Linked DNA regions of Bombyx mori. Each later gene encodes a partner of the first gene's protein in a complex. Links are inferred from orthologs where the notes say so. Each region holds a gene or a part of one and is shown on either strand. Other genes may lie near its edges. The genes, in order: kinase D-interacting substrate of 220 kDa B and solute carrier family 53 member 1.

Region 1 (4,563 bases):
TTCATTGTAGTATAGTCAGTCCTCTGTGTGCCTTTAGGTAAATACTTTTTTCTTTTCCTACCTAAGCTGGTAGCCTTGAGAAGCTATTCCAGCGTAACCTTAACTAGTAGGTGAGCTCACGGGGCTCAAACCTGACGACGTTGCTAACACGAACCCTAGCAAGAGCCGTGCTTCGCAGAATCTACCACCGGATCGGAAACGCGACCCACTGAGAACTATGAAGTTGTACTCAATTCGTGAAAATTGTTTGGGAACAATGACATGATAATAATATGTCATATTTATTATAGAAAAACCGAATACATACTATACATGAAATTCCATGACGTGGATTTTTTGCAATATTTAAACTGTAGTTAGTTACACATAATGTGGTTTATTTTACTACTTCCAGATATGACCGTATTTTTATTTGTAATTAGCTGGATTTATTAGATTAAAAAATAAATACCTAAATACATTTATAAAGTAAGTAAATGTAGTTTAAACTTCAGATTGTAAATTCTTTTATAGCAGACTTCAAAAAAGGAGGTTCTCAATTCGACTGTATGTTTTTTTTATGTTTGTTACTTCGTAACTTTTGACTGGGTGAATCGACTTTGATGATTCTTTTTTTATTAGAAAGCTGACGCTTCCCGTGTGATCCAATTTAGTCCAGTTCTGATAATGTTATCCATGAGAAAACCATATAAGTCTTAAATTTGCATTAAGTACGTTCGCGACAAATAGAGGAATAGCTCAATAACTCAATATCACGCCAACCGATTTCTATGATTATTGTTTTTAGTGTATAATATTAATTTGTTTTGGAATATCTTTTTTTTCTACTTGAAGTCGGTTTTTGTACCGACCTGTAAGATATGTTATGCAAAAAAGAATAAAATAAACTCCAAGCAAATTTGAAATAACAAAAACAGCGATCAATTCGTTAATGTATTTATTTCTTAATGTATTTATTTCCCTAACTTTTCACTGGTAGCCTAAGCAGCTATTGCAGCTACAGGCTGACCGGTAGGTAATCTCACGTGATCAACCTGAGAGCTTGCTAACACTGGCAATATATTATGATGAGTAAGTAATAAAGACGCTCTAATGTCACTTGTAGAGGTACTGACATGTAGCAGTCTCAACTGTGGATCTCCGCGATGGAAAAAAAAACAAGTATCTTTTTTAAATACTTCTATTTCCCACGTATAGAGGCTTAAAATGGTGAGACTTAGAAATTAATCTCACTTTCTGAATTTTCTCGCTTATCCAGTTTGGCTATAGGTATGTATGTGGCTGCTTAAAAACCTAATGAACTGCATCTGGAGTTTGTGTGTTGATTCGACATTGATAATGTTTCCAAAAAAGATGACTATGTCATATTTACGTTTACCTGACTCCAAATCATCGAATTTTATTTTTTGTTCATGCATTTGTTTATTTGTTCGTTCGAACATCACGCAAAAATTACTTTGGCAGTTTGATTTTATGTTGGGTTGGAAACTAACATTAGATTTCAAAACGAATATACATTTGGAGTTGGAAGCAAACCACTGGTGTAGTTAAGTAGTTAAGATATGACAAAGATAGAGACAAAATAATAAAAAAAATTCATGTTTATCATACCTACCAATATACACGATCAAGAATTCTTTATTCCAAACATAAGGTTCCTAGAATAGTAACGATCCGCCCTTCTAATGATTAATTTTATAAAGCACATACTCTACATCTATCTAGAACAATATACACTTGAGACCTTGAGAAGGTTTTTTTAAATATAATTTATTATTGACATTGCTCTAAATCATGGTTCTTATTTTATTATTAAGAAATTGAAACTTCGACTTTAAAATTCGATTTTCTCGTAAGTTTCACTTGAAAGTTACAAGGTTTTTTTTTCTGTAGCGCGACAAAAGAGGTCAAGGTGGAAAATAATTACGATTTAACTACAGTGCTACTGAACCTCAATAAAATGTAAACCTTTATCGTTATTGTGCCTTGATGGAAACAGGGGAAATCCTACATAAGTTGAACACACGACAAAACCGTGTCGATGTCGAGTAAACAAAACGAAGTAAAATGATTAGCATATATGGTCAGGTGGTATATTTTCAACATATTTTATACAAACAATAACTTTTGCTTTACTTGAAATCATTGTGTAGTATGCGCAAGGGAATATGATTAATCTAGAAATAATCATACCTGTTTAAGTAGAATAGAACAAGAGTTAAAAAGAGGAGGTTACATGCACACAATATCGGAAGAATTAATGTTGTAAAGTATACACAAATAAAATTTTAACGCTGGTATTATTATATATATACCTCTTGTGCTTTTTGTGTCTCTCCACTCCAAATATCACGCCAGTGGATGAAATTTTGTAAGTGATTGATGTAGTTATGCTGACGATGTTGCGGGTCACGTTTTTTCCGAGAGTCCGTGGGAGAAGGCGGTGCTGTGAGGGATTCACGCCGTCGAGAACCAGCTGATACAATTGTTGATTTTAATTCGTTGCTCAGAAGGCGTTCAGTTTCGGGGCCTTCATCAGACGACACGCTGCCCATGAGTTGTCGCGACGGCCTCGACCCTCGTAAGTCTGACGGGGAATCTTCGTTCTTCATGTTGCCGCAAATCACACAGCACGAACAAAACTAATAACTTTATAGAATAAGTACGGGTGCAAGAGAAAGCTTCAGTACGGTTAACATTTCGCAAGATATCTTGTACTAAACGGAGGTCGTATTGCGAGGCATGAACGTGCGACACGGACGACGCCGGCGGCTGACTGCGGTGTGAGTGCACGTGGGCAACGATCCGATATCATAACATATTCGCCTACTTCAAACCTAAACAGTTCGACTTTTGAAGCCTTATGTAATAATTTTGAGTAATATTTAATACCAAAATCATTGTATATTGGTGCCCTACTGATTTTTTAAAATGTAATGGCATGATATGGAATGATGGCAGTTAATCATTGACCACTTATATTTGTTTTTTAGGAACATGAACAGAATGAAAACAAAACACATTTTCTTTGAAGACTTCAGGTTCTGTGACGGATTATCATTGATTATGTATATAATCTACTGTTGCCTTACTAGTCTCTTGATACAATGTTTTCAATGGAATGTAAGTGTATTTCTGGAAATTATTTTTATGCATAAATTATGAAATTTAAATTAACCTTTAATTTTTAATGAAGTAATTTTTAATTTTCGATTAAATTATGATTTCTATGGTAGATACTAGTTACACACTGAAATTCGTTAAGCCAGTTTTTGAGAAATAATCATTTCATTATTTTCTATTAAAGAGAGAATCTGTTGTGGAAGGTGGTTGAAAACAAATAGTAGGTAGTGTAATTAATAAGTCTGGTAGATCATCAAACCAGGTTTTATCCATCCTTATTTTTATAAAAATAATAACTGTCTTATACTTGAAAATACTAATATTTTTTTAAAAAAGTAATTCAATATAGTATTTATGATAACATGCATATTGTCACCAATTTCAAAGAAAAATAATCTATAACATAACTTTGAAAATATTTTAAATTTATTTTATATCTCTTCATTAATTTTGCTCAAAATAAAAATAGATATAGATATTGTTCTTTTAACCATCATGTTCCTGGGTCGTTTTATTATATGAATTATTAAGTGAACTATTATGGCCTATTGTGAGCCTAAACATATAAGTGCCACCTTGCTGCTTATTTCTGCATTAACAAGGTATACATTTAAGTCTGAAGCAACTAAAGCTCCAATGAAAAATAGAAAAGTGAGAAAAAAGAAGCAATTCAAGTTAGACTCCATGTCTCAAGTAATATCTAAAAGATCTGGTAAACAATTTAGTGGGTATAAGGTACACATCAAGATTTATAAAAAAATTATGTCTTGAAGGTGTAATTTATGGACTTATAATAATTTATATCCATGAACGAAAAATTCAAAGATATACAGACAGTTATATGAAACATTAACATTCTTTTAGCTAAAAGAATGTTAATGTAATCTTAATGCTTAAAAAATTTTTTTTTTTCTTAAGTTATAGGCATCATAACTATATATTAAGAATATGGTTATGGGTTATCTTGACAATTCAATCAGTAACAAAACTAAGAAGAATTGTAAAGTAACCAGGGCAAGAATTTACAAAATCTATGAATTTGAAGTGGAGTTTTTTGTTTTGTTTTATATGAGTTTTATAAATTATTTTATAAATGACAACCCTTTAAACTTTAATGTCCTGTCTCAAAAGTCACAAAATTTTAAAGATAACAAAATAGATACAATATTCTATTTAATAATTATATAAATAAATAAATAATATTAAGATACAAACATTTTTGTCTTTTGAAATCACAAAAATACCAATACTTTATAATTTAAAGCTATGGTTTGTTGAAAATTCAAGCAATGAGGAAATTTATTGGAATGACATTCATTTAAAAAGAAGTCCTGTAGTTGCTAAAGCAAAATAATTTTGCGCATCGGTTATGTTTCTATTCAATTCAATTATGCTGTTTTATTAACTGGAATTTTATCTACACACTAAACGGTAAGAAAA
Region 2 (4,494 bases), on another chromosome or scaffold:
TTTTTTGTGTCACGGCTATCACTTGACAGACAGACAGCACTTGGAAGAACAAATAATTCGATAAGGAAATTTCCATTTGCTATCGAAACAATAAAACCTTTATCAAGACGTGAAACTTTCAAATGATAAATCATGGTCAGTACGAGACAATGGACTTACTTATCAATCAAAATTTCTGTACCCAATTTGATTTGGAACGATGCGGCTCCTTTCACGGCTATCTCTATCTAGACGTTTCAGGAGGCCAAATAAATCTTATCACTGACCGCCACTGACCTTATCGTGTTTCTTCAATATTTTCCTGAAGCCTGTATAGTTTAAATTCTGATAGTTCTGTAGTAGTATTAAACTTAAATAGAATTCGCTGAATGCAAGTTTCAGTTCTTGGACCTTTCGACGAGGCACCGCAGATTTTTTATCGCCTCCCCCTTTAGTTTTAATTGTGTCGAAATTTGTTTTCAATTCACTTTGGAGTGTCGCGAATTTGCGTGTTGCTTCGGCTAATTTTTCTGGAATGGGGAAGGATGTTCTTTGAATTCGGTTCTCTGCGACATGATTCAGTCAGCCTTGGGGCTAAACTCGTCATTCAATGAAATAACTGACGTAGCTCAAAACGAAGATGAATAGTTATCAATAACAATAATGACGATAACATGATACCAACTTCAAGAATTCAATTATTTTTATTTGGATAAATACCTACTGATAATATTAATGATAAAAAACGCATTTAATTCACCCGATGAAGGTCACAGGCAAGTTATTCTGAGAGCAGACAACTCCCTTTCATGATCAGAAATACACATTTTATAACATATCTAAACTTATTACTGGTGGTAGGACCTCTTGTGAGTCCGCACGGGTAGGTACCACCACCCTGCCTATTTCTGCTGTTAAGCAGTAATGCGTTTCGGTTTGAAGGGCGGGGCAGCAGTTGTAATCTTGTCTGTTGTATACTTGAGACCTTAGAACTTATATCTCAAGGTGGGTGGCGTATTTACGTTGTGGATGTCTATGGACTCTAGTAACCACTCAACACCAGGTAGGCTGTGGGCTTGTCCACCCATCTAAGCAAAAAAAAAAAAAAACACTTACCTGAGTAAAATGTGTTAATTTTCTTTAACTCCTGATCACAATAATGGAAGAATGTCTCATCAAAGTTTGCAAAGTGTCTAGACAACACCTCCGGTTCCACATTTTCAGCTGAAGGAGCCTCCTCGACCGCTGTGTATAACATTGCTTTCATTTCCTGTTATTGTTTTGACACATTTTAAGATTTTTTTTAGATTGTAATGAATGAGATCAGTCCAGTACATTGTACAGTTTTTATAGTAAACCTGGAATAGATTATCTATCTACCAATCTAAGCAAAGCGCTTTGGTTGGGTTTTGTAGTATGTTAAGTAGGATATCTTGTTTCATAACACAGATACTACATTCACAGATGTGCTGACATTGCTGATTTTTATAATCGGTATGACTGTAACAGTAAAAGAGATGCTGAATCTTCTATCTTGACATTAAGACCAAAGCAAATAAGCTGGTCTTTGTACATTTTAACATTCTACATGTTATATTGGAAGCTATAAACTAGATGGGTTGACCAACTCAAGGAGGTGACTGGAGGCCAGATATGGGGAGCGGTACATATGGCGCAGAACCGGACCGAGTGGAGAAGATTGACATACAGTCACGATCCTCAGCATTGAGGGAACGACCAGAAAGAAAGAAGATAAACTTAACAATATACATAGCTGTATGATGTAGGCTGAGAACAACACCACTCCATCATGAAGAAATATTCCTCAATTGAGCATGTTTCAATTGCTAATTGATATTTATTGGTGGTATAGAATATTGTGAGCTAATTTAAAGAGCTCTTAAAATCCATTAGCAAATTAGTTACCTTTGAAATTCAAATCATTTCAACTTAAATGTCATTATAAGATACTCGGTGAATGTCCCAAAATATAACCTAATTTTGAGGAAAACTAAGTAAAGAAACTTATATGTTTTTATCTTCTTCTTTTTTAAAGACACTTAACAAAGAGAAATTATTGTTTTGCCTATTCAGTAATGTAGGCCTACATCAATGTTATTTGATAAGTTCAATTTTTTCAAACATGTTCTCCTAGCTGATTTAAAGACCATAAAATTGAAATCTGACCTTTATTGTAATTTAATTAAAGTTAATTTGTATAGCTAATTTACATTTTTAAATTGCATTTTTAGGAGCATTACTTCATTTTTAGTTTATCCGTACTTTTTTTCATTCAATATCTTCAAAAATTTGTAATACAATTATTACTGGGTAGCTGTGCCAGCATAGTAATTTGATTACTACCACTATATTTAATAATAACTAATACTACAATCTAAAAATTTGCAGAGTACAATGTTTACAAAATATTTTTCAGTTATCACCTCTACTTTAGTTGGAAAAATTAGTCATCTTTTCTTTATAACTCTTATTGATAAAAAATATAGTTGGTAGCATCTTGGTGTTGAAACACGAGATAAGAAATAAATAAAATAATAAGTAATAACAGAAGTACCAAACATTAAGTACTTACTTCATAATTAATATACTGTTTACGCCACTCGGGCGTAATATGAGCACTCAAGTGCTCCGCGAATTTCATTATAAAAATTTAAAGAACACGTCTTTCTAAAACGGAGACTAAATAACACTGAAAACTGTCAACAATAAAATTGTTCAATCAACTAAGTTTGTCTATTGATAAAAAGATAACAACGACCTCAATATATGTACTTTTAACGTATTTATAAAACACTGGAATGATTGTAATGACACACTACAAACTTAGAATAATAAACAGTTTATAATTGTTAGTGAAAACCTGTTCTGTAAGTTGTGTTTTTCTCTTTTGGTTTTACGTAAAACACAAAAATTCAAACGCTTTTGTCAAATACATAGATTACCCAATTAATATTTAACATATATCTAAATCCCTAAGTGTATAATCTATAATTTAGATGCTATCGTTGTTATTTCAGGACTTTTTGGCGGGAACGCGAGGAGTGAAGTTGTGTGATTTGTTTTATTTTGTCTATTTAGTGTTTCTTCAGGTTTAAATGTGTAATAATGGTGGTTTATTAACTGTTTAATATCTGTGAAAGTGCACAAATGTGGGAAAATGAAACAAAGCTGCTGGACGTAACTTCTCAGGTTCCTCCAAAAAGTCCACTGAAAAAATCTCAGTAAATGACCACCATTTTACTGCGATTATATTTCATCCCATATCATTTAATTTCATTAAATTTCATCCCAGTTGATTAATGTCTCAAATTAATCATCTTCATTTCATTTCACTCCATATTATCATTTTTCATAAAATTAAGAATATAAAGTAAAATAAGATATGACTTAAAGGTCTTAGTTACCAGGTCATAAAATCTCTTAAAAAAAAAAAAAGTTGTTATTTCATTTCATATTACCATCGATGAATTTCCACTGATTTGGAATTATGTACAATCGGTTGTTATTATTCTAGAATAATTTTCAACATATTTATGTAGGATTTTTATAACAAGATAAAATACGTTAAGGTATAAATCATCAACACATTCAAATTATTGTTATTTTTGTTGAAGGGAATGTAATTTGATTTGAATTTTTAAAGTAAAAGGAAGATGTACAATTTATGTTAATTTTCAAGTCGTTGAGACTGGTTAAGATAAAAGGAATAAATTTGTTACTTTTTAACAGAAAAGAAATGGTTTTCTGTAAAGTCAGCTTACGGACGATATTTTTAGGTGATAACGTCAGAAACATTAAAAAAAATATTGCATATTTCTAGGAATTGAATTTATTTAATATTACTGAGCTATCATCATTCTGTATAATACAAATAAGTTAATTGAAAATTCAAATTTTTTTCGTTACATTAACACTTGGGCCAATCGTGCTTCTCTATCGCTTGTTCCGTGATTTCGCTTTCACGTTCAGACCCAGACGGAACGTGACACTTTTTCGTGCGTGCAGCCGATGTTCATAGATTTATAAGACGTTACGACGTCAAAATTTGTTTGCTTATGTCTACTTAGATACGAAAAAGATATGGATCTTGCTAATATATTATACGACTATTCATCGATGTCAGTCTACTAGTTGACTTGTAGGCCTTGATGCTTTTAATGTAACTTTGTCAACGACTTATTCAGCATAGATAATACTTAAAATTTTAGGGAGCACGGTGAATAGTTATGTATATGTTTGACCAACCAAAATGAGCACGATTCACAGATCATTCTGAGGTCATTTTTTTACTATATTTAGAGGTGTACGAGATCATGACGGCCATCTAGTGTTAAGTACATATTTTTTTTGGGCCGTGGGCTGAACCTCTTACGAGGTCCCCGTGCCTAGGGGGCGCGAGGGGTATGTGACGATCTGCAAGGTGTTGGGAGCAGACCGCGGGCCCAAGGAATGTTAAGGCTCTACCCACTAAACGACTCCCCTGCACTCTTCGTC

Evidence for each region.
Region 2: the proteins of kinase D-interacting substrate of 220 kDa B (region 1) and solute carrier family 53 member 1 are in contact, whole or in part, in a cryo-EM structure (PDB 9JXQ), measured with the Homo sapiens proteins. The link is inferred for Bombyx mori from reciprocal best matches to the Homo sapiens genes KIDINS220 and XPR1. Residues at the interface, in NP_065789.1 of Homo sapiens: Glu36, Cys37, Gln39, Asp70, Trp72, Met102, Trp105, Trp110, Tyr113, Lys114, Val138, Ile142, Trp143, Gly146, Arg147, Ser166, Asp167, Lys168, Tyr169, Gly170, Trp176, Arg179, Lys180, Gln198, Glu199, Gly200, Ala201, Ser203, Lys234, Arg267; in NP_004727.2 of Homo sapiens: Leu95, Lys189, Lys190, Gln193, Glu197, Ala200, Asn204, Glu205, Ala636, Asp637, Asp638, Leu641, Leu642, Gln644, Met645, Met646, Asp647, Gln648, Asp649, Asp650, Val652, Arg653, Asn654, Arg655.

What each region holds. Positions count from the first base shown.
Region 1 is NC_085116.1:7,173,767-7,178,329, forward strand, and holds the start of kinase D-interacting substrate of 220 kDa B, read right to left. Parts: upstream 2,856-4,563; 5' UTR 2,613-2,855; coding exon 2,316-2,612; intron 1-2,315. UniProt on the Homo sapiens protein: Promotes a prolonged MAP-kinase signaling by neurotrophins through activation of a Rap1-dependent mechanism. Provides a docking site for the CRKL-C3G complex, resulting in Rap1-dependent sustained ERK activation.
Region 2 is NC_085132.1:3,534,718-3,539,211, reverse strand, and holds the start of solute carrier family 53 member 1, read right to left. Parts: upstream 2,978-4,494; 5' UTR 2,642-2,977; coding exon 2,573-2,641; intron 1,250-2,572; coding exon 1,096-1,249; intron 510-1,095; coding exon 277-509; intron 1-276. UniProt on the Homo sapiens protein: Inorganic ion transporter that mediates phosphate ion export across plasma membrane.